4 linked regions of the Arabidopsis thaliana genome follow. The protein of the gene in region 1 interacts with the protein of each later gene in a pairwise test. Each region holds a gene or a part of one and is shown on either strand. Other genes may lie near its edges.

Region 1 (6,147 bases):
ATTATCTCATGCTGCTGATTATAAATAAATCTCGGTCTTCATTTCATCTTATCTTAAGGTGTGGCTTGTTGTTGTTGTTGTTGTTGTTGTTGTTGTTGTTGTTGTTGTTGTTGTTCATATATATATATATATATATATATATGTCTCATGATGATTAATTGTACGCTTATGCCCGATCATAAAAATAGAAAATCATCATCTTGTAATAATATTAAAATAATATGTATGTTGAACAATTAATATTTAGTTATTTACTATACTCAATCTCTTCTATGAGTTGACTTGTCAATTGAAATTTTATAATTTTATTAATGATTTGGAGAAGAAAGTAATTTTACATTTTTCCATTTTTATTTTAAAAATCATTTTTATTTTAAAAATCACTTTAGTTCAGGTTTTTTGTTGCTAAAATGTAAATATTCATAAGAATAAAAATGTTTAGGTTTACAGTTATATATTTTAGACTTATAGACTTGGTCTTATGGCAAAAAAAAAGGATTAAAACATGGAAGGAAAAACAATCAGTTTGTCGACTCAACGTATGCTATGAAGCAAACAATGTTAGAGAAAAAGATAAAGTGATACAAGATTTTGAAGTTCCTCCAAAGTGAGTTACAAAAGATGAAATTTGGCAATGAAAATTTATAAAAACTTCAAAAGTGGAAGCCTTTCACTGGAGGCCAATGGACTGATTCTATCGGCTTTGCCAAACTATTCTACAACAGGTTAATCATTTGGAGAAGAAAGTAATTTAGTGGTTATTTCACATATATACCACCATTCATCAATATAACTTCTATGTTACGTTTCCGTTCATAAAGATATGTGAAAACGAAGTTCCTGTAAATGAATGATTAAGTTAAGAAATTTATTCGCTAAATCTATAAATTCATCTGATCAACATTGTTGTCTACGCAATTGTTGTTCATTAAATCTTTACGGTCACAAAAATAACAACCTCATGATATGTTAGAAAAACTTTAATCATACACTTGCAAAAAAAAGTGAAGCAAAATCTACCATAAATATGCAATTGTGCAGTGGTCTTCTCCTCTTAATTTTGTTTGAAGTACGTATATTCGAAACTTTATTTCGATTATAATTTTTCGTACGATTCTTTATAAGTAAAGCAAAATAATGATGGATTGAAGAATCTTGAAAATGGAAAGAAATGGACGAGAGGCTTTTGACCATTTGTATGGCCAGAATAACAACACTCACTACCAAATACAATAACGTGATTTTGTTTAATAGATTAGATGCGGTAGGAATATATTATTCTTCGTGAACTAAAACCATGTTTTATAACGACAAAAAAAAACCCATGTTTTATAAGTTTATGGGCCAAAATTGGGCTTTTGTATTATAAACATGTTTACGGAAGTATTCAGCTAAGTATATATAAAAAAAAACAATTACACTAATTTATTTAAATTTTATTATTACCTACTTACAATTAGTAAAATTTAAAATTAACAAAAAAAAAACTTTTACTTACTTTTAGTTATTGTTTTAAGAAAAAACATCATTAATTACCCTACTTTTTTTTTTAATACTAGGAGGTTCTAAGCCAAAACATCTTAATTATTATATTGTTTATATGTCTAATAATATCCATAAATGTATTAAAAAAACTTAAAACATAAACTAAAGGGTAATAGATCATAATATTATTGAATGGAGTAAGAAAATGTATAAATTATAATTCAAAAAGAGAACTATAATCTGCTTTTCTACCCAAATGAAGTAAAATAAGACATCAATTTGCATTTCAATGGTCAGTTTTAAAGGTAAAATTAAAGACGTTAAACACGTGTAATGTAAAAGAGATCACTCATGAGTCATGACCAACCATATTCTTAGTTTATATAAGTAATTCACACCCCTTAAAAAGAAATATAGTCTATAATCAATCATACTTAGCATGAAAACGATGATCAAGTTTCTGCTGTTAATACTGGTGATCTCTCCTATGTCGATATGCGCCGAGAAGGACATGATGATAAATGAATGCCACAATGCAGACGTCCCAGCCATATGCATGCAATGTCTTGAATCCGACCCAAACTCCATTCACGCCGACCATATAGGCATAGCTGGCATCGTCATAAACTGTCTTGAATCCCACCTCCATATCATCACCAAGCAAGTTTTCACTTACAAATTATAACCAATATACAGAAATATCCTCTAATATATCAATTTTTTCATTTGTGTAGTAACATAACGAATTTATCGTCAAAGAAAGATAAAGGTGAAGTGAAAACAGCTCTGGAGATTTGCAAAAAAGACTTGTCGACGAATGCATCTACAATACTGTCGGAAGCCAAAACAAGTTTGAAAACCGGTGATTATGATAAAACCAACAAATCGATAAAGCTTGCGCTTGGCTTTCCTCTGAGATGTATGTTCAATCTCAAACGTGTCAAGTTCACGTCTCCCCAACTATTTAGTCAAATCAATATCTATGCTCAACTCTCTGACGCTGCTATGAGGATCATTGATCGCTTCTAATAAGTAATAACTCCTTATTGTTTTCTATATAACTCAACTTCGATCAATGCTTACCCCAATTTGAATAAATCATTTCCTTTATGAAATTTATAAAGTCACATATATCCATTTGTTGTAGCTCTCATGTTTTTTTTTTCTTTTCAAATTTGTCAAAATAAGTTTTCGTTTGAACCATCATTCAATATAAATCTAAATGATATATTGTCTTTTTTTTTTTTTTTTTTTTGGCAAAGAATGATATATTGTCTATTTCATCAAAGTTGGACCACTATACGATAAATTGTTGTTCTTATAACGTTAAAGTAGGAAAACAGTTCAGTTTTCACGTGACTAACTTACTACTATTGGAATATTTATCATAAACTTTAATTCACGAAAATCATTAATGAAAATTTGATATTACTACTATAATATCGTCTTCTCTATTAATTTAGAATCTTATTCATCCTTTTCCACTTGTCTTCTCTAACCCTCTAAATTCTCTTTGGTCGGGATCACTGGAAAGAAATGTATAATCTCACTTTCTCTCCATCATTGTCCTCTTCTTTGCTCTCTTTTACACAACAAACTCCTGCAGCCATAGTGTCCTCTTCTCCTCCGGATTTAGTACTTCAACAAAAACTCCGGTTTGTCGTGGAAACCTCACCGGACCGATGGGCTTATGTCATTTTTTGGCAAAAGATGTTTGATGATCAATCGGACCGGTCTTACTTGGTTTGGGTTGATGGTCATTTCTGTGGAAACAAGAACAACAATTCCCAAGAAAATGTTCATTTTTCTTTGCCTCTTATGTTATCTAATCAAAATATCCAAAATTTATTTAAATCAACTTCTTAAAAAAGTTCTATTAAGAAAATAATATAATTTTCCTTACCCTTGATTTTTTGTTTTTGTTTCTTTCTTAAGTATACAACAAACAGCATCGAGTGTGAGCTGATGATGGACGGTGGAGATGATCTGGAGTTGTTCTATGCCGCATCGTTTTACGGTGAAGATAGATCGCCGAGAAAGGAAGTATCCGATGAATCTTTGGTTTGGTTAACCGGTCCCGACGAGCTCCGGTTTAGCAACTACGAGAGGGCTAAAGAAGCCGGTTTTCACGGGGTACACACATTGGTCTCCATACCCATCAACAATGGCATTATCGAACTTGGTTCGTCTGAATCAATTATACAAAACCGGAACTTTATAAACCGAGTCAAGTCCATATTCGGGTCGGGTAAAACAACAAAACACACTAACCAAACCGGTTCTTACCCTAAACCGGCGGTATCAGATCATTCGAAAAGCGGAAATCAGCAATTCGGGTCGGAAAGAAAACGGAGGAGGAAACTTGAGACGACAAGGGTAGCTGCGGCGACGAAAGAGAAACATCATCCGGCGGTTTTGTCCCACGTGGAAGCGGAGAAGCAACGGAGAGAGAAGCTAAACCACCGGTTTTACGCTCTACGTGCCATCGTACCAAAAGTGTCACGAATGGACAAAGCGTCACTTTTATCCGACGCAGTTTCGTACATAGAAAGTCTTAAATCCAAAATCGATGATCTCGAAACTGAGATCAAGAAAATGAAGATGACGGAGACAGATAAATTAGACAACAGCAGCAGCAATACGTCTCCGTCTTCCGTTGAGTACCAAGTTAACCAGAAACCTTCAAAATCAAACAGAGGCTCTGACTTGGAAGTGCAAGTGAAGATCGTCGGAGAAGAAGCCATAATTAGGGTTCAGACAGAGAATGTGAACCATCCTACGTCGGCATTGATGAGTGCGTTAATGGAAATGGATTGTCGTGTACAACACGCGAACGCGTCGCGCTTGAGTCAGGTTATGGTTCAAGATGTTGTTGTTTTGGTTCCAGAAGGATTAAGATCGGAAGATAGGCTTAGGACCACACTTGTCCGAACCCTAAGCCTATAACAATTTCTTTGTTTTGTGACGTCAACATAGGATGTGATAATAATTTTTGTTTTTTTTTGCGACCTTTTGTTTTATTTGATAAGTACTAGAAAAATCAAATTCCTTCTAGCGATTAATGTTGTTTTATCAAAAGTTTGATCTCGTTGATACGTAGTTTATGTGTTACTTTTTTACTTTATTTCTCGTACGTACGTACTAGCTCGCTAAAAGCGCAAAGTGTTTGGTATATTGTCTTACTAAAACAATATAGAGACTGTATATTTTAAAAGAAACAACTCATTAATTGATCATTTGGAAATATTAGTTTGAAAACCATAGAGAAGACGGAGGAATTATAGACACACACACGCTTGTCCTATAATATTTAGGACCACTCTTCAGTGATAGCTTGCTAACAAATCAAGTCAATTACGTAATGAACTACCAATGCTTTATATTAATTATTCTTGGACGTACTGTTATATTAAGACACTGATTGGTTAATTTGGGGAAAAAATATTAGTACAATGCACAGAAAAATAAAGGGTACAATAATGTTGAGAAAAAAAAGTGGTACAATAATGCAAAGAGAAGAAAAGGGTACAATAATGCAATTGAATTGTATCTTTCTTATTTTGTTTGCTAATTACTAATTGCAAAAAATGTTTTTGTGCTTGAAAAAGTAATCATTCTGTATCTAACATTCACATATAAAACAGAACTAAACAATTTTGCATTTACTTAATGAGACAAAAATGTTTTGTTTTATTTGATGATCATGGTTTTATGTTTTTCTAAAAGAAATTAAAATATGTTATGCAACAAACTATCATGTGTCTATGTATACATAACCTATGATACAATATAGTTTCGACCTTAAGATTAAGTTTCTTTGACAGAAAGTCAGAAACAGTTATCTTTCACATGATCCCTTCTTCAATCCTGCTGCAACGATGTAACGGTTATGCAAAAATTTACTGATAGGTAAATCACATGAAAAATGGCCACATGCAAAAATTATGCCCGGTTCCAACTTCTAGGTTAATATGGTACTCAACAACAAAAAAAAATATTAACAATAAATACGTGTTTGTCTTCTTCTTCTTTATAGATGTTTCACTTTATAAATAGACTGTAAGTTTTTAAAACGCAATAAGAAAAACAACTGAAATCATTTTAGAAATCTTATGCGTGCAGAATAAATATTGGTGTTATGTGCATTTGAAGCTTTAGGCTTTAGCACTTTCTAAAACCTCGTTTTGAGCAAAGTCATTCAAAAGGAACTCTTAATATTTTTACAAATTGAAATAGCAATTGTAATTTAATCAGTAAAACCTCTATAAATTATCATGTTTATTAATTTATAGAGACAATATTTGGGCTAAAATATCAATTTGAGAACGGAAGAAAATTATTAATTTAATGAGATATTAATTTATTGAATATTAATTTATAGATTTTTGACTGTATATATTCTAAGCTTTGTTTTAAGAAAATTTAATCCGTTTAAAAAGATTTATCTTCATTAACCCCAAAAGAAATGATTTGTTTTAGCTTGGCCAATAGTCATGTATGGCCCAATCTGGTATAAAATCTCATAAAAAGTTTTATCTTCATTAACCCAAAGAAATGATTTGTATTAAGATGGGCCAATAGTCAAGTGTGGCCCAATTAGGAGTAAAATCTCATAAACGAAATGGGCCCATAATGGCCCAATATTTGTACACCACAATCGGA
Region 2 (6,370 bases), on another chromosome or scaffold:
TAAGAAGTATGTATAACTCGTCCTATACACACAAGTTTTGTATCCTGACACTTTTTCTTGTGGGCCAAAAGGTCCCATAAATAATGCAAACTTCACTAATTCACGAGATCGTGTCTCCATATGAAGGAATTATACAAGTATTCAGATCTTGTTACAGTGTAAAATATTGAAAAAGGTGAAAGTGTTGCACTAAAAATCAGCCGTTGATGATTGATGAAGGAGCTTAGTATGGAGGATCTAGAGTGAACCATGCAAACATATACATATTTTTGATTATTTTATTAGATTTGTACGTATTGTATATAAATTTGGAAATTATGCATAATATGCATAGTATTCTTTTCCGTGGAGAAACATATAGATTTCTCACCTGAGCTTATATGAAAGTAACCACTATTTTTCTCATCACAAATCTCGCAACACTTCTTAATATGCTAGTAAAACTATAATGATCTAACGATTGGTACTGTTTTATTCTTTTTAAATTTTAAACCAACTGCTATTTTTAATACTCAAACATTCACTTTCTTAAAAACCAAGTGCTTCTAATTACTCTTAAAACCTAAATTATACATTTGAATCTAGGTTATCACTTCTCTTGTTAAATCAACAATGCTATGCGGTTAAATTTTGTCATGAATTTTTGATTTAAATAATAGAACGAGGTGATCAACATTTTCATCTGTTACCGGCTTCGTCTATATGAGGAGGCCAAGTGAAAGAAGTTATAATAACTAGGTAGGTCGCATGGTAAGTTTCCCATGAAGTCTTCAACGTCTTTTGTCCACTTGATTGTGCGCTAAATACTGTGTGAACATTCATTCATTATCTTAAGAACCCAAATGCTTTTAATTACTATTTAAACATAATTTGTACATTTGAATATAGGTTATCGAGTTTCTCTTGTTGAGCCAACAATGCAACATCTTTATTTCTGCCATTTTCAATTTAAAGAAAATGAATAAAATAAAATTAAGTATTTTGTTATTATATGCTTAGTCTTGTTAATGTAATTATAAGGAAGATAATGTTCCTTAATAGACTAGATGTGATTCATGAGAACCATGCACAAGAATTCAAAAACCCTAGAAGATTCGATGGTAAATGACGGATCAATTAGCAAAATATTCATGTACATTTACTATAACGCTATTGTATCTCTAGGATTATCGGGTTCTTGTAATGGATGATACACCACAAACCTTTTCTATATTTGTAATGCATTATGATTGACAAAAAAATAGTGTTCCTTGATTTTTTTTCTTTTTTTTGTGTGTGCATCAAGTGTTACTTGTTAATTCATTATTCATTTCATTATGTTTCTCATACACTCTAGCCATCTCTGTTTTTTTCACCAACTAATCATACAATTTTATAAATTTGGCGATTTTTTTAAAAAATAAAGACTCTATAGTCTATTTTTGATAATTGTATGTAACATTATGTACTATGAAAATATCATGCAATTGTGAAGATGACAAGGTTGTCATATCTTCTTATGAGGTAAGAAATTATTTCTTAGAGTATATGATCATTTGCTATTAGTTGTATTTTCTATCCTTCTATAGATATGTGAACTTCATTCTCTAGTTGAGTATGTATCAGAGTTACTTTTACCTTCCAGTACTAATGAATCTGGAAGCTCACACAGAATAAAAGTTCTTGCGTAGAGAAATACAAAATCTTAGTGCTTAGATGAACATTTGACCAGTGAGGTGAAGCAGACCACTATGGTTGAGATCATCTACTAGCAACCAGACCATCCAAAATCTCTTTTCTTCTAACCAAGAGACCAAGTCAGTGTCCCATCAAATTTGTTTTTTAATTTTTATTTTGGTTAAATATCAAATCCTTTATAACCAATTTCTCTTTTCTTCTCCATCCAATAAGTCTTTTCTATTTGGAATCTCATGTAAATCAAAGTGCTTTACAACTTTTTGGCAAACATTTTATCTTTAACACTAGACCAAAAACTTCCTCATTAATTAACTAAACTATATATATTATTGGCAATAGAGCATCCTGCTTTCGTAGGAATCCCCTTACCAAAAAAATCACCGAAGATACTTTTGGACTATATATTTGTCAAATCAATAAATAAAAATAAATAAAAGATTAAGAAATAAATGCTCAAAGCCTCAAAGTAAAGACAAAAGACAAAAAATTGGTGAAAGCAACATAGTTGGCATTGGAGTGAGCGAACGTAACCACTCATAACGCGTTTGAAAGAGATTGTTGTCAAAGACTTGAGAAACTTCGTAACGGTTTTATGATCACTCATTGACTCTCTCTCTCCGTTACACTTATGTTCTCGACGCGACCTTCCAACCATAAAATACTAATTTCATTTTTATTTTCACTTCATCGATATCTTGTGACATGTAATATGATTGGCTTATCAAAAATCTTTCATACGAATTTTCAAGTTTGTTCACATCTCTCTCCCAAGATATCCGTTTAGGAGCCTAGGACCGTTACTTCACTTTATTATTTTCATGTGGAGGAACTGTAATATATATCACAATTTTGTTGTTCTTGTTGATTGTGTAAATAGTAGTACTGGATACTAAAGAACAATGAGTATGTATCTCAAATATTTAGCTCAACCGTTTTATAAAAATACTATATTATTACCTTAAAATTGTTTGTTGCTTTATCAGTATTAGGTAATTATGAGATGTCACTGTTTAATCTATTTAAACGTTTTATGAGTTACATTAATGAAAAAAATCTGAAAAGTTAAAATTATACGAATACATACCTGTCTGACTCTACCTACTGAATTTTGTAAAACAATTTGTTATATTTTATAAGAAAGTTGATGTTGTAGTGTTTACTGTCTCATAAAAAACAATCTCTATTTATTTGATTTGAGACTTGAAATTTTTAAAGCTTGTTTTAAACTATACTGTTTTTCTTATAAAAAAATTGTATTAATTTTTTTTATAAATGAAACTGTTAAAAAAAATTGAAAATTTAGAGATCAAAACTAAACCTTTATAATCATTGAAATATATTGGTACATCTACCCACAAAACAGGTCAATCGTCTAGGTTTAATTATAATTAAGCCTAACATGTTAATGAGATTCAAACGAAATTAAAGTCCACAATGCCAACTCAACTCAAGTATCAAATCTTTTTCTTCTTTTTTTACTTAGCAGGAATACCAAACTCAAGTATCAAATCTTTTAAAATTTATTTTTTACTTATGTCAATGTGGGAATGACCGAGTTACTTAAGAGTTATGATTAATATTAATTCTTGTTTCTAACCAATTCATATATCATTGTCTTGGAAGCTTCTTCATATCAATGACTCAACTCTTAATTTTTTTCGAAAATCTGTTCTTACAAGGTCACACAATTCAATTTTTTTTTTGTATTGTAAATGTTTATCTCGTTATATTTACACTAACGAGATTTAAACACCTAAAATCAAATTGTACGAGACTAGTGTTAGTTATTCAATAGTATGATGCATTGATGCAACAAAATTCGTTGCGATTATTTATGATCCTTATCACTACCATGATCATTTCCATTAAGGTTATACTTACTTCCTTTTTGATGCATAATAATTACTCACCAACATTGAAGCGTGGTCGACATTTTCATTGGCAATAAGCATAACATTCATTTATTTATATTAAAACACAGAAACAAACAATTATTAAATAAAGAGTTCTGGCATTTCTCTATTTTAGTCCACTTAATTTAATACTATCATCTTCAAACAAGATTTCATCATTAATAATTTAAAAAATTATACGTTACATAGTGTATTAAATGAATTATCGTTGGGATACACTTTCACATTTTTCAAAAACGTATGAATCATAATGTGACACATGGAGATTTCCCACAACCGAGGCTCCCATAGTAGATGCTTATGCAATTCATATTCTTGCAGCTTAAACTCTTGCAAGTTCAGTAATAACACCGTGATATGAAAAATAAAACTTAGCCCTTTTTAATTTTTGAACTTATTCAGATTAATTAAAAGCATACGTAGCATATTTAAGAATATAAAGCAGAGAATCAAAATAACATATTGTTTCAATGGCACCCATTTTAGCTAGTCGATCAGTAACTGCATTCGCAGATCTTCGAACCCACCAAAAATCGACAGCTTCAAATCCTTTGAGCCAATATGACGCTAAAGGTCAAAATATTATGACCCTAAATGTCAGAAATTGACCCCATAAGTCATAAGTTAACCGACACCAAAGCTGATATTCGTTAGAGTTTAGACTCTCCTTTTCTTAATGATCGTTAGTTTTAGTTGGGAACTCTTGGGCTATCGGTTAAAATTAAATAATTGTGGTCCTCTTGGCCCATTAGTGCTGTCCAAACTGGCCCAATATGACCCAGTGGATGGTCCCAACAAACGCCGCGACAAAACTCCGTCGCTGGCTGAGGCAATGTTCACCGGTGGTGGTAGCTTTTCTTCTACTCCGACCCGGCTGAAAATGCAAATCCCTAACCCTAGACACGGCCATGGTTTATAAACCTCATCAATTTCTTCTACTTATCTCTTCTCAAAGCTAAACCCTCCAAGATATTCCTCTATTAGGTGCAAAAATCAGGTAAATCTCTATCTGTCCGATTTGAAACCCTAGATCTGCCTTTCTTCTCTCTTCTTTTGCTTTTCTGGGTTTTGCTCAAAGATGGGTGACAGCGAAGATGAAACAGGATACCCAAAAAAGTTTTACTCTTTGAATCGGCAAAACCATCCAATGTATAGTAGACCAATACCTAAGCGTCACGCGTATTACAATGAAGAAGAAGACGAAGATGAAGTCGAAGGAGAAGAGGAAGATCCACAAGGAGGATACATTCGTGGAAATGAGAGGTTTCAGAAGAGACAGAAACCAAACAAAGTAGTTTCTGGGTTTGAATTTGCTGGTCCTAGTGATGCTAAAGTTGCGTATGATTGGAGAGAGCAAGAAGCTTTTGTGTTGCTTGAAGTTTGGGGAGATAGGTTTTTGCAATTGGGTAGAAGGAGTTTGAGGAACGAGGATTGGAATGAAGTAGCTGAGAAAGTGAGTGAGGAGCTAAGGATGGAGAAATCTGAGACGCAATGTAGGAGAATGATTGATGACTTGAAGAGGAAGTATAGAAAAGAGAAGATTAAGGTTGAGAAATCAGGTTTAGGTTCAAGTAAATGGTCGTTTTTCAATAAGTTGGATATGTTGCTTTGTGTTTCGCCCAAGTCGGATTTAGGTTTAGCTTGTGGTGTTGATTCAGGTGAGTTTGTGTTTATGAACACTAAGGTTTATTTAGATAAGTCTAATGGGTTTGATGAGATGATGGATAGTCCTGGTGATTCTGAAGAGGAGGAGGATGAGGATGATGAGGTTGAGTACGAGAGGAAGAAGGTTAATGACGCTGCTTCGTATAAGATGTTGGCGGATTCTGTTGAGAGGTTTGGGAAGGTTTATGAGAAGATGGAGAAGAGTAAGAAAGAGCAAATGAAGGAGTTGGAGAAGATGAGAGCTGATTTTCAGAGAGATTTGGAGTTGCAGAAGAAGCAGATTGTTGATAGAGCTCAGAGTGAGATTGCTAGGTTACGTGAAGAGGAGGAGAATCATCATGGTGGTGGTGATGATGATGAGAGTGAAGATGAAGAAATGGAGAATGATTCTGATGTTAATCTCAGTGATGAGTAAGTTATAAACTATGTAGGTTTGTGTTGTTTGTAGATGCAACAAAATATGTTCTGTTTTTTTTTTTGGTTTTAGGGAATTCAGAACTTAAGTCTTATAAGTTTTGTAATTTGTGTTTGGTCTTTGCAACTTTAGTCGAGGTTATTTGCAGTTTATCTTGAAACTTAAATTAATGCATAAACATATTTCCTTCTTAATATACTGTTTGTGAGTATTTCTCTTGACCAATCTCATGAACATACATATATTATATACCATAGCTAAACCGACAGATACATATATAATCTTGTTATAATCGAGGAAACAATTTTTTGATATATAAGCATTTTTTAAGAGGAATAAACATCAGAGAAGCAAAAGACTTAACGAGCTTCAGATAGTGTTATGTCATAGCCATTTATTTGGGAACACAGTAAGAGGATTTGATCTCATGCCATAAGCAAAACAAAGTGTCGTAGTCATCTTCGCCAATGGGGGCATTGTTGTGGGCGACTCGAGAAATACCCACCAATGACTTGAGCCAGTCTTCATGCAGACTTGAGAACTCAGATCTTAGCTCACTTGACTTGAAGTTTTCCCCAATTGATCTCTTCATGGCTTGAGCAGCACCTGATGCTGTTTCAACCACTTGGTTTGGTATTCCAGCCATGAGTGCCACTTGAAGTCCGTAGCTCTCAGGACAAGCTCCCTCGGTTAAACGGTA
Region 3 (7,390 bases), on another chromosome or scaffold:
TCAGCGACGGCGACTGCTACGCAACGGCTCCGGTTGTTCCTTTTCGCTAACAAGCTCGAGACCGCCGCTACTATGGGATCTCTGCTTGACGGCACGAAATCTGACACATGGTTCGTCGATGCTCTGAATCAATCTGGTTTGCTTCCTCGTGGTTTATCAGATTCCGCCGCCGTGAATAATACCTTGGTGAATCTCGACGAAGCTAGCGGCGGAGAGACCGAGATCCAAAACCTTGAAACTAATGTTGGTGGCGAGAACAATAAGCGAGGGGATTTGGTTGCTAACGGTGTGATTTCGCATCAGGAGATGCATATGAGCTCGATGCCTGATTCTCCAATGATGGAAGCCGCTGGTTCTTCGATAGGATCTTCTTCTTCATCTCCTTCCACATCCAATTTGCCACCGATTCGCGTTAGAGTCAGTGAGGACCAGAGGATAGAGGAACAATTGGCACAGATGACCTTCTCAAACATGCAAACTCAGAGGCAATTTGATGATGGCGTTAGCTTGATGGCAAATCGGCCAATGATGATTCCACCTGGTGCCATGAACGATGCTGCGATGGCGTATAACAACGCACCTGGTGATGGTACTGCTCCCGCAAGCAATGGCCATGTCTCACCTGAAGACGATCGATCCGAATTAGGTGTATCAACTGGCTACAGGAAGCCACCTTTGCCGATGCAACCAGTAACGATCCCACCTAGAACTGTTGGAGGCTATGGCTTGACATCCCCTGATTCTGTTGCAAGGTACTTTCATCTTCCCCTGGACTCTCTCTAGTTATTTAGGTAGCTATAATGATCTAGGTAATTTCTGATCTCAACTTCTTAGTTTCTCCATCATTTTCTTCAGCTTGCCTTGAATTTGTAGTTTCATTTGCACTGTTTCTGTTTCTGTTCTATAATCTTTACATGTGGTTTGTATTACATCTCTGATAGTGGCTAAGTAGCTAAAAGAAATAGATCATTGGTTTGAAGTATGGTGTATGAATCGATGATGGAGAAATCATCTTAAACTGTCAAATGCTTAAGAATTTTCTATGATCTTTATCATCATCTTTGTTTTATTACACCTTACAATCAGAGATTTTTCAATTTGGTGTTCTAGATATTTGTGTAGATATTGGTATACTCTTTGAACCATAACGTTACAAGAGATGTTAGCTTTATTCTTTTGAATATGATGATACTCAATGCTGATATTTCTTGTTGTTTATACATTACAGTGATACTAGCATTTCTTCTGCTACTTCATTTTCAAAGCCGATGTACTACCAAGACCAACCTCCAGCTCTGCCAAGAGCTCCTCCAGTGGCACAGCCTGAAACCACCTCGGCCCAAAGCTCTCAAGTCTTACCTCAGACTGAAAACACTTCAGCCCAAACCACCTCCCATGTCTTATCTCAGCCAGGTACGTACACAACTATGGATCAACAACAACAACAACCTCTGGCTCAACAACCTTTCTTACACCAAGGCGTTCAGTATATCCCTCACCCATCACAATACATACCAATTTACTCTCATCAGCAACAAAACTACCCTGTTTACGTGATGTCCGTCCCACAATCTCAGCAGTATATCCCAGCAGGAACTCCCCCGCTCTACCCGAACTCAAAACCCGGCACAAACTCGAGACCTGAAGCTGCCCAGAACGTTTACCGAGCTGCTCCCCCTCAGGTTATTCAGCTTCAGCAACAGCATCAGTACATGGGTTACGCTGGAGCTCCTCAACATAGCACAAACGCAAACGCCAATTACGGTACTGGAGCTCCTCAACATAGCACAAACGCAAACGCCAACTACGGTGGACCCTTTGAATACACAAACTCTCCAAACGAGACAGTGTATTACCACACACAAGCTCCTGCTGCAAACACTGCCATTCCATTAGCGTCTCCATACCAAAGCATGACACCAGCAGCAGCCGCAGCAGCTCTAGCCGATATGTCCAAGCAAATGGCTCTTGACGGCGGCAAACAGCAACAGCATATGGCTGCGTCTCAGCCGCTTTAAACGCTGGATCTTTGGTAATAAATGCGCAAAGTGTTAAGTATAGCCGACACGGCGCGCTCTGTTCTTTTTGCGTATTACATGTAACGTCCTGTTACATCTCGTTAGATATACATAGGATTTGCTATCTCGTTGTTCTTATCGTAGTTTGCTTATGTCTCTCTCTCTTTTCTGATAAATAAATATGTTTTGGATATTTTTTTAAGTTCTATATTGGAATTATCTTGATCCGAAGATTACACAAAAACTCAAGAAATGGAACACCAGTGTATACTAGATATAGAACTGTGAAGTGATCTGTTGAGGTTGCTTCATGCTTTGTCACTTTAAGTGATGCATTCAACACTTGAAAACTTGATATTGCCGCTCAGAAAAGAAAAAAACTCCATTAACAAGTCAAGAGAACAATTCCAGCTTTTTAAACACAACATAAATCTCCATTAGCTTCATTACTTATAAAACGTTCAATCACATATCTCCACCATGGCCTCTGTTAAGACCATAAACATGTAGCAGTGATTGAAGTAACCAATTCATCCTCTGCAAAACTTGATTCCTTAGCTAGCTTCTAGGATTTCCTCATGCGCATCGAGATCAAAATCCTTTGAATTCACTCGAATCATATGCATAAAACAGAATCATCTTAGCCTCTAACCTGAGGCTCTTTGATTCAACTTGTAGTCAATCTCACCAACAGCTTATACTATTGTAGATTCACGTCAATAACCTGATTGAACAAACCGAGTTTCAAAACAGTACCCCTGTTCAACCATCTTGTTAAACAGAACACACCAGCAACTTGAAACCCACTACTAGTAGTAACCTTTACCATGTCACTTATCAGCAAACCTTGTGATATCCCTAAGACACGCCCTTAAAACAGCTTACATATCAACTCTAGAATCCTTGATGTATCTTTCAAGCTGTAAAGAAAAACCTGCAATACTTCTTCTTGTATGCAACTACCAAAACGAATTTGGCTATTACACCATTCAATTTGCAGTCTTTAGTCAATGCCCTTCATTTTCTTAAAAACAAAATCCTTCACTTGACTGACCTGCAGATAACTTCCCATGAGTAGACACTTACGTTGTCTCGTCATCAACCAAGACAAATTTATGCTCATGAGTTGTTGTCTTCTAAATGCAATTTGAATCCTCTGCATTTGCATTCCTTTCTAGGACTTCTTTTCAGCTGCTAACACCAGCTTTGAGATGAGTTGTTTATCAGGCTTGATACACAACACTTTCATAGTCTTGAAGTGAAATACCTTGAGACAACTCCTGCAACACTTACACATGTCTCTTTTCAGTTCCTTCTTTAGAGAATTCATTGAACCACTTCAATAACTTCATCTCTATTTACACGTTAGTGTCTTTTCTGAAATTTGCAGCCAGCAACTCCTATCTAGAAACCTGCAATTTATTTCTGAAAAATCTGCAGTCTACTTCTAAATGACCTTACCAACAATCAGCTCCAAACCAAGCCTGTATCCACCTTGTACCATCTTTGAGCTGAAAACCCGTTGATAATAAACTGTTCTTGACTTGTTTTCTTATAAGCATATTGAACTTCCATGAATCTGATAAACTAGTGAATTACACAGCCCTTTAACTCTTTTATCTTCAGCTAACCTTCTAAGACAACATCCACAAACATAGCTCCACCATGAAAAAATAACAACCTTAAGTATATGTATTGCTAACTAAACCGGACAGATGAAACTAAACCGGAGATTAAGACATTTAACCAAATTATTGATTCAGGTTCTGTAGCAGATTCAGGTATGAAGAAGAGCTTTTTTCCTGTCACAACCTAAAACCCTAAATCTCTGATCCGCCATGAGAGGAGCTCTCTTGAGAAATGCATCTCTCTGCGCTCGCAGAATCATTCTTTCTCCTCGTATAACCCATCAGATCTCCCCCAATGTTCCCTTTCTCGCTCCAATCGCCGCTCCTGCTGCTCCCAAGTTCAGATTTTTCTCCTCCGAATCCGGTGAGAACTCGACTACGGCCCCTGAGTCTTCGCCGACTGATTCACCCGAGAAGAAAGATCTCGTTGTAGAAGATGTAAGCAACAAAGGTAAAACACACTCTATCCTCTTGTTTGGTTACCTCACACTTGAAATGGCCTTTGTATTAGTTGAAATGTGTGAGTTTAATTCTCATCTCACCATTTCTCAATACCTCATAGTTTTCAATTGATCCTTCGATACAAGATTCGTAGCTTCTTATCTCATGAACTAGTAGAATAGCTGTAGGTAATCGTTTGAAATTGACTTCATTTATTGGATTTTGTGGTCTCAGAGCTTAAAAGCCGTATAGAGAAGTATTTCAATGAGGGTAATGAAGATGCTTTACCCGGAGTTATTGAAGCACTTCTACAGAGAAGACTTGTAGACAAACACGCAGAGACTGATGATGAATTGTTGGAAAAAATCGAGTCTCTACCTTTCAAAGATGATGTCAAGGATGAAGATTTTGAATCCGATTTCGAGGAAGCACATTCTACTGACGAAGAACTTGAGGATTTGTACAATTCTCCCGAGTATGTAGCTGAAAAGATGAGGAAGAATGAGTTTTTCAACATGGATGATAAGAAGTGGGATCACATGATTAGAGAAGGTATCCAACATGGGTGTCTTACTGATACTAAAGAATGCGAGGAGATTCTTGAGGATATGCTCAAATGGGACCAGCTTCTTCCTGGTAATGGCTCGTTTATTTTCAATCTTCCCGTTCATCGACTCACATCCTTAGACATAGATTAGGTTGATTAATAGACTAATGTGCGTCGTTATAGCTAAACACAATCTCTTCGTGGAACTTAGCTTTTGTAGTTAACCTTTCTATTTGGATTTTTCTGAATCATGGTATGAGAAGTTGAGAACCATTCGTTTTTTTAACTCGTAGAAGGTAATGTACTATGCCAGATATGTTACTTCTCGGATCAGTAGGGCCGTTTAGAGAATATATTGGTTTGTTCCTGTGATGCGTACATATGAACATTTCTCTAACTGTGTATGTTCATTCAGATGACTTGAAGAAAAAGGTTGAAGCAAAGTTTAATGAGCTTGGAGATATGTGTGAAAGAGGTGAAATTGAGGCTGAAGCAGCTTATGAGCTTTTTAAGGAATTTGAAGATGAGATGGTAATTCAGTATGGGGATCAGATGGAAGCTGAGGGTCCTCCCCAATTTGGTGAAACAGATGCTTCCGATAGGAATACTGACTTGGATGATCCCCCTGGTAAAGGCCCAATCCTCAGGTGGCAATCAAGGATAGTTTTTGCTCCTGGAGGTGATGCGTGGCATCCAAAGAACAGGAAAGTTAAAATGTCTGTTACAGTGAAAGAGCTTGGGCTCTCAAAGCATCAGGCTAAAAGGCTAAGGGAACTTGTAGGGAAAAGATACCATTCGGGGAAAGACGAGCTTACAATCACCAGCGAGAGGTATATATAACTATAAATCTTAAGCTTTTCGTGAGACAAGAATGTTGAATCATGAAATGTTTTTGTCCTGTCACAGGTTTGAACACCGAGAGGAAAACAGGAAAGACTGCTTAAGAACTCTTTACGGGTTGATAGAAGAAGCTGGGAAAGCCAACAAGATCGCTGAAGACATAAGAACTTCATATGTAAAACAAAGACTCCGTGCCAATCCAGCTTTTATGCAGAAACTACAAGCCAAGATCATAAGGTCTAAAGAATCAGATGCCATCAACGCTTGAACAAAACTTTTCCCGGTTAGCGCCTTTCTTGTCTCACCAAATAATCTGTAGGATCGTCTTCTTTTGGCAATCATTTGATCCGTTATGGCTTTTCAGATCCATGAAGAATCTTTGATGGTAACTCCTATCTTAGTTTGGTTTGCTTGTTGTATCTCATGAAGACATGAACCTTGGCTGTGCTGTTGGTGTCTATTAGAGACTAGTTAACGTTTTCTCAGAATTATGAATCTCTCCTAAAGTTAAGGTTTCAGATATGTTTACGGGTTCAGAATGAAAGTAACCAAAGGAAAGAATTGGTACAATTTTTGTTTGGGTTTTGTATCAGATGTCTTTCTAATTTTTAAAGAAATTCAATCAGTAAGATAAGAAATGGAAACTAAATAAATTATTGCTTCAATATACGATAGCTATACATCTATAAACGAAAGTAAAATGGTCGGACTGTTCTGTTTATATTTTCCTGACGAAGAAAAATGAAATCTCAACCTCCACAACCACCACCGCAACCGGCACCGCCACAACCTCCGCCACCGGTAGAGGTGCCTGAAGTGGCTCTGTTGTCGGAGACTCCGTCGGCACAAGAGAATAACAGAGCGGAGAGGATACAACAACCGATCACAGCCAGGAACACAACATGAAACAGGTAACTAGCATCGAAATGTGTTGTTGTGGTGGCCATGCTCATTACATCTTCTAATAAGTGTCTCGCCATCTCTCTTTCTCTAGTTAATGTGGATGAGATTAAGTTGTTTAACGTGAAAAGCTTTCCTACTTATAGCCGATAAATTCGTACGTAAGGCCACTGACTTTTGATAAATTATTCGTTCAGTAGTAAGATTTCTTTGTAATTAAATTTTTCTTTTTAAGAAAAGAAGACTTATTTGTTAAAATATAGAAAAGACTGCAATACAAGACTTACCAGAAAGTCATCCATTTTAGTCTACTATTCTCCTCCTCTCAACTAAACACATTTGACTGCGGAATTTTGATGGAATCACGTATATTAGATGAAGATAGGACCCGGTTTATAATAATTTCTAGTTGAAGATTATGTTTCTTTAAAAATATAAAACTTGTAATTCGAAAGGCTAGGCTAATTTTATAGGTCAAGATTATATTATGCTTTTAAAGAAATTTAAAGTTCAATATTTGATAAATTACATACATAGTTCTAGTTAAGGTTTTGTCGAGGAAGTTTAGTTGAAGATAAGGATTTTTGACCATTTACATTAGCGTGAGAAAAGTCAAATGCCATAATATAATTATCATTAATCATAATGTATAAATCAGCTTGAATTGCCTCGTCTTTTTAAAAAAATTATAAATATTGAAGTGATTGTTCATGGCCTTTGTTAAATCCAATAAAAATACAGAGATTTTGTACTGTTTAGTTATTTATCATTGGTTATCATTGATTGTTCATAACTTTATGCATGAGAAGCTATTAAGTCTCTCTCTTCTATTTCACGTGGACTCCATTTTTGTTGTTGGTCCAAATTTGACTATGCAAAATCAAATTCTTATCAAAGGACTTTCGACGTAACCCAATGTTCTTCCCTTTTTTCTTTTGGCGTCTTATTCTTCTACCACTAACCAAATTTAATTCATCATGGATTATGTAATTTCGTAATCTAAAAGCTTCCGAAAC
Region 4 (5,590 bases), on another chromosome or scaffold:
TGCAACAGACTCAGCGTATATTTGAAAGGCTTTAAGCTTAGCTTGTCCTAATGGTGTTTGAAATCCGTTCTTGAGAATTGATACAATCTCAAACTGATTGCTTAAGTGAGAAGTTAGCTTAGATTGGCAATGACGGTAGATAAGCTCGTAAACTTTATCGTCTTTAGGCAACTCCGTTAGTCCGAACTCGTTAGCTATGGAAGAATGTTGTTGATCACAATCAGAGAATAACTCTTCATTGCTTCTGCTTTCAGATGAATTTGTTGACCCTTGTTCTTCGTTTATCGGTGTTTCTTCGGTTTTTGAATAATCCATTGCTGAGAAACAAAAGGAAACACAGAATCAGACTCAAAAATCATGAATTCGTTACAAAAAAGAAAACCAAGAAGTCAGAATCAAAACCTTTTTGAAGATTTTAGATGATTGATGATTTATAGCTTTAGTGTAGTTTTTGAGATGAGAGAGCACAAATGTTTGAATTCAAACTGCAGAGAGACTAAACATATATATATGAATAGTTAAAAATACAGTTATGGAAAAGATTTTTCTTACACTGTGTTCTGATTTGTTTAAGTCTTCCTGTTTTGGGTTTTGTTGTCTGTTTTCGTTTTTTTTCTTTTCTATTAAAATATTTGTTGCGTCTTGTGCCTTTTGCCGTGAAGGAGAAGTGTCCACATTCACACGATTACACTAATCCCACTTTTGTTTTTGTCACGATTACATTAAACTCATTAATCCCACGTTATTAACAAATACACGAACTTGTAAATATAAAAGGCTATTTTTTGTCAACTATTAAAGGCTATCTGATTTCTTATTTGCAATAAATACATTTATTAAACAGCATCTCGAAATTTAATTTTTTACACGCAAGGCCACTAATTTTGTGGACTATTTATTTACTGAAAACTGAATATGCAGTAAATCTCTACGTGCGGGCGCTGGCTGTTTTCGGGAAAGTGGAAGGCCGGTCGTTTTTACGTAGTAAACTGCTCTTGTAATAGAAGTGGGTTAGAACTGGAATGACCAAATTACCCCTTGGTTCTATACTTCTATATATAGATATCAACGATTCAACGTTGCTGCTGATCGAGACGTTGAATGGTATTCTTGTTACCAGAAATGGAAACCGTGGGGGCTTATTAGCATATTTTATTCCTTCTTAAAATATACTTTATACCATTAAGCGAAATTAACGACTAATTTTGATCAGAAAATTTGACTTGCGTTAGTTTAGTTCCTATCGATATTAACTACAAAAACACCGTTATAATCGTATATGCATGACACTAGAAAACATTGTTCTTCTCGTAAATTCAAAATTTAATCAATGTTTTTGCTACTAAAATGTGATGGATTTGGTTGGAATGCCTAGAATCTAAGAAATACCTAAGCCCATATATTGAGTGTGTTGCCTTAAATAATGTGAACGTAAACCCAAACCATTTGCTTCGTTCAACAACTGACAAAAACAAAACCCTACATATATTAAAAATAAAACATTGCATAATTAACAGGGGACACAAGCTGCCAGACATTATAAATACAATAAGAAGGGGAATTAAAACTGAGAAGACATTTTTTCAAAAAAAAGAAAAGAAAAAAATATCCTTCGTTTATTGCACTAATTCTACTGCATAAGCAAACTTCGGATTAGTGCAGCTTGAGCTGAATCAGTTGATTCCAAAAGTTGAGACAATCTTTCACTAAGATCATCCACTTCTTTGCTCAAGTTCCTTATGTAACTGCATGTCTCTTGTAATACCCTTGATGCTGAAACCTGAAAGTAACCAATATATTGATAAGAAGAAGGATCTTATATATAATTAACAATTTAATTATCATGCATGCAGCATGCTATTTATTGTCGATTAGTTTGGAAATTAAAATTTAGCACTCGTCACAAAATGCATCACAATCAAATGAATCAATACATACATGCAATATTGGAATATATGGAATATTAGTTTAATATTTATTTATAATTCTAACTAAAGACTCTCGTTTGTTTGCAACAACAGAAAGATGAAAGAATTACTGTTAAACTTTGATGGAGGATATATATTAGTTATTATTTTTATTTTTTTTAAACCGGAGGTTTGTTCTTTTAAGTACCCACTACTAATCCAAGGAAGATTTAAAAAGGTTTAGAAAAGATTTAAGGTTTGAAAGAGGAAATTAAATTTTTTAAAAGGAATCATAATGAAAAATTGATTAGAACGTTGTACCTTTCCAGAGCGTCTGTTGTTAGCAAGTTCGGGGAGAAGCCGATGAAGCTGGAGGACAAGATCGTTGATTTGTTCATCCGTGATCATGGAAGCTCCAGTTTGTCTTGAACGTGATTTTCTGCTAGACATTATGTAATATATATGATATGGTAGAGTATAGCTAGAGATTTATAAATCTTAGGGTTCACTAATTAACTTTAATCAATATTTGTGAGTGCAAGTATTTTCTTTGTATGTTATTTATATTATAAGAGAAAAAAGAAGGAAGAATTGAATACAGAAGTGGAAGAGTCTACTGCAACTGCTTAAAATAAACATGAATGGTTTCAACTTGTGTTTATATAGAAGATTTTTCTCCGTTTTTGGCTCTACATGTGTATGCATGGAATAATATAATTGCAAAATTATATATGTTTTTTCTAGCATGTTTCCTAAAAACTGTAATATTTTTAAGTATAGTTAAATTAATTGGTGAATTACTAGATTAACACTCTGACTAGTAGTCTTTAACGAAAGGGAAAAAAAACACTCTGAATAGTATTATGCAAATCTCAATGGGTAAGAATTTATATTTTATCTAAAATTTATAGATATATTTGTGCAATAAAAAAACGCTTATCTTATTTGCAAGAACATCTTTGTTGTTAACGGTAGAAAATTTTCGTCTCGTTATGTTTTTAAACTTATATAGGAAAAACATTTCCATTTATCCAATTACAATTCATTATAAAATAGAAGATTAAAATTCATTTTAATTCCACATTATTTTTTTTGCTAATCCAGTTTTCATTTTTCTATATATGTTTCACTAGTAACCAACTTCAGAACAAGAGTGATCTTGTGCCATTTTAGTAAATCATTTAAAAGGTGATGTTTGATTATAGTTGGAGGATACCTTCTTTCATATTTTTTTTTGGCACGAATAGAGTATACTAAAACATTTTGGGTTTATAAGACAAAGAGAATATGTATGCATGTTTGTCATACTTATCGGCAAACTTGCATAAATTCTGGAATTGGTGATAATACAAACTTTGGTACTAGACTACAAATTATGATTAGTTTGTATGATATCTTAATTAATCCAAGAACTGTAAAATTAGGATTAACTCCTGGAAATGTTAATCAACTTCTATAGTTATATTGCAAGATTAATTTATTTATATAGTTACATACTTGATCTAGTACATATACTAATTTGAGCATGTACAGACAAACATAAATAATTAAGTTGATTTAGTTTTATTAGAGATGAAATTAAACAATTCTAATATCAGTCTTTTCCATTTTGAGTGTACCTTAGTTTGGTCTTTCTTCCATTTTTATTTGTATACCATGGGCATCAATCAGTTGATTAATATATTGCAAATTTGGAATAATCAATCAAGCGCTCGATTATTTATCCATTTAGATCTGACAATTTTATCACTATATCTCAAGAATTTCTAATCAATGGAAATGATTCCTATAAATAATTTTATAGTCTACAGACAGAAATTTGTCTAGGTATCAAACTATATGGTAACCCGTCTCTCTTCCCATCATGTAATATCTTTATATTTAGATAATAAATAACATTCGTTTTATTGAAGTAATTAATATTTTCTCCAAAAAATTCCATTAGTTAATTATGGTTACACCAACAATTGAGAAAAAATATATTTTTAATTTAATTCATTAAATAAATTGTAAACTAAAAGTTTGTTTTTTAATTAAGAAGTTAGAAGAGAAAATTGGACTTTGATTCCAAATTCCGAACACGTATTGTCTATTTTTAAATCGTTATTAGATTTAATCTAGTAATAGATTTTTTTTTCATATGTGGATTGTTTTACATTTTTTTATTATTTTATTTTACATTTTCATTTGATTTTATTTACAGTTTTAAGAAAATAAACGATTTCTTTTTTGTATTATTCAAAAAAATTGCTTTCTTTTTATGTTTACACCAGAATACTTAAGTTATGAATCTTTAGATCAAAAAACAAAATAAAAAATCACATGGACTCATGACTCATTAGTATATCATTACCCGATAAAATATGTTTAATCATTTGTGTAACAATTATTAAAATTGTTTTTTTTTTTTTTTGATAAGGTGAAACAATAAATAAAAGTTATACATGTACATTACATCCGTATATGAGTGTTCATAATTTTGGAAATAAATTAGAGACAATTCCTCTTTTGACAGATCAAAACAAGCACATCTTGCAAACTATGTGATTAAATTAAATTTTTTGGTCGTCTCAACTTGTGTGATTAAATATGTATATGTGTACTTTCAAACTACTAACTTAAGGTATTGTTTTGGTTTTTTATAATCCGTAATTAAAAATCCGAGGATTAAAAGAAACTATAAAATGTAACCCAAAAATATCCAAATAATAATATTTGTGAATTGTGATTAACTAATCAATATACGGTACTATTGCGTGGTCAGCTTGGATCTCAGCTCTCGTCGGGGCACATGAGTTTTTGGAATATACAGCGAAGAATCACGATGTGTACTCTCTTTTAATTTAGTTTTTATTTCTTTGGTTTAACTTTTCTAATATAATATTAATTTTTAGCGTACGGTATACACACTCAATTGATTACAAGTTCTCAAGTCTACTTCTCATTGTAATAATCAGTTCTGAAATTTTTCAAATGTAAACAGAAACTTTTTTTTTTTTTAACAGAAACTTGTTTCTTGCTAAATGTCATTGCTCCACTTTTTTCATTCCAAATAATATCATTAGATGATTAAGATTATGTATTACAAAAAGTAGAGAACCTAAAACAGAGATGATCCGTGCCAAACAAAATTATAAGAAATACAAAGGACATTAGAAATACACAAACTAAGAATCCTTGGGAAATTAGAATTTTTAGCCCACACTAACACCCAACCAATTTTCGATGTTGTGTGTTTTTTATATCCAACCAAGTTTAGAGGTTGTACACAAAAAGAAAACACATGAAATATTGTTTTTGAAAGTGTGAAGAAACCCAAGTTGAAGGAGTCTTTAAAATATTGATAGAACTTTATTAGATTTTAGTACGATAGAATTCCAAGAAAGATTACGGAGATCTCTTTGCCATATGGTTTCTGTCTCAATGATTCGCTTCTATGTTATTGTGTAAGATGATTTATATATACAAATATGTACGAGACTCAATACTACACATTTCCTTAGACAACTCGAAATTTATTGTTTATTTTAGGAATCATATGTACTTAAATATACATGCGCGTGTACATCACACTCTCGGTTTTATATGAAATGCATGCAAAATACTAATCCTGAGTTTGCTGGTGCGATTCCATTGATTAATTATCCTAATTTGGCTTAAAAGAATGGAAACAATGTCATCAA

The links.
Region 2: the proteins of AT4G00870 (region 1) and AT3G24490 interact in a two-hybrid assay, tested with the Arabidopsis thaliana proteins (one large-scale study listed by BioGRID).
Region 3: the proteins of AT4G00870 (region 1) and AT3G18240 interact in a two-hybrid assay, tested with the Arabidopsis thaliana proteins (one large-scale study listed by BioGRID).
Region 4: the proteins of AT4G00870 (region 1) and BNQ3 interact in a two-hybrid assay, tested with the Arabidopsis thaliana proteins (one large-scale study listed by BioGRID).

Annotation. Positions count from the first base shown.
Region 1 is NC_003075.7:360,514-366,660, reverse strand, and holds AT4G00870 (basic helix-loop-helix (bHLH) DNA-binding superfamily protein), read left to right. Parts: upstream 1-2,951; 5' UTR 2,952-3,021; coding exon 3,022-3,282; intron 3,283-3,420; coding exon 3,421-4,431; 3' UTR 4,432-4,728; downstream 4,729-6,147. Other genes in the region: AT4G00872 (Plant invertase/pectin methylesterase inhibitor superfamily protein), read left to right, coding at 1,925-2,145, 2,220-2,514.
Region 2 is NC_003074.8:8,906,354-8,912,723, forward strand, and holds AT3G24490 (Alcohol dehydrogenase transcription factor Myb/SANT-like family protein), read left to right. Parts: upstream 1-4,068; 5' UTR 4,069-4,668; coding exon 4,669-5,670; 3' UTR 5,671-5,870; downstream 5,871-6,370. Other genes in the region: MSH7 (MUTS homolog 7), read right to left, coding at 6,065-6,370.
Region 3 is NC_003074.8:6,251,954-6,259,343, forward strand, and holds AT3G18240 (Ribosomal protein S24/S35), read left to right. Parts: upstream 1-2,888; 5' UTR 2,889-2,903; coding exon of another isoform or gene 2,904-2,977; 5' UTR 2,978-3,072; coding exon of another isoform or gene 3,073-3,109; 5' UTR 3,110-3,199; coding exon of another isoform or gene 3,200-3,348; 5' UTR 3,349-3,856; coding exon 3,857-4,097; intron 4,098-4,321; coding exon 4,322-4,723; intron 4,724-5,049; coding exon 5,050-5,464; intron 5,465-5,540; coding exon 5,541-5,742; 3' UTR 5,743-5,757; exon of another isoform or gene 5,758-5,838; 3' UTR 5,839-6,137; downstream 6,138-7,390. Other genes in the region: AT3G18230 (Octicosapeptide/Phox/Bem1p family protein), read left to right, coding at 1-752, 1,229-2,018; AT3G18235 (uncharacterized protein), read right to left, coding at 2,719-2,776, 2,904-2,977, 3,073-3,109, 3,200-3,348; AT3G18250 (Putative membrane lipoprotein), read right to left, coding at 6,224-6,454.
Region 4 is NC_003074.8:17,587,496-17,593,085, reverse strand, and holds BNQ3 (BANQUO 3), read right to left. Parts: upstream 2,543-5,590; 5' UTR 2,358-2,542; coding exon 2,229-2,357; intron 1,781-2,228; coding exon 1,631-1,780; 3' UTR 1,416-1,630; downstream 1-1,415. Other genes in the region: SRO4 (uncharacterized protein), read right to left, coding at 1-315. UniProt on the Arabidopsis thaliana protein: Atypical and probable non DNA-binding bHLH transcription factor that integrates multiple signaling pathways to regulate cell elongation and plant development.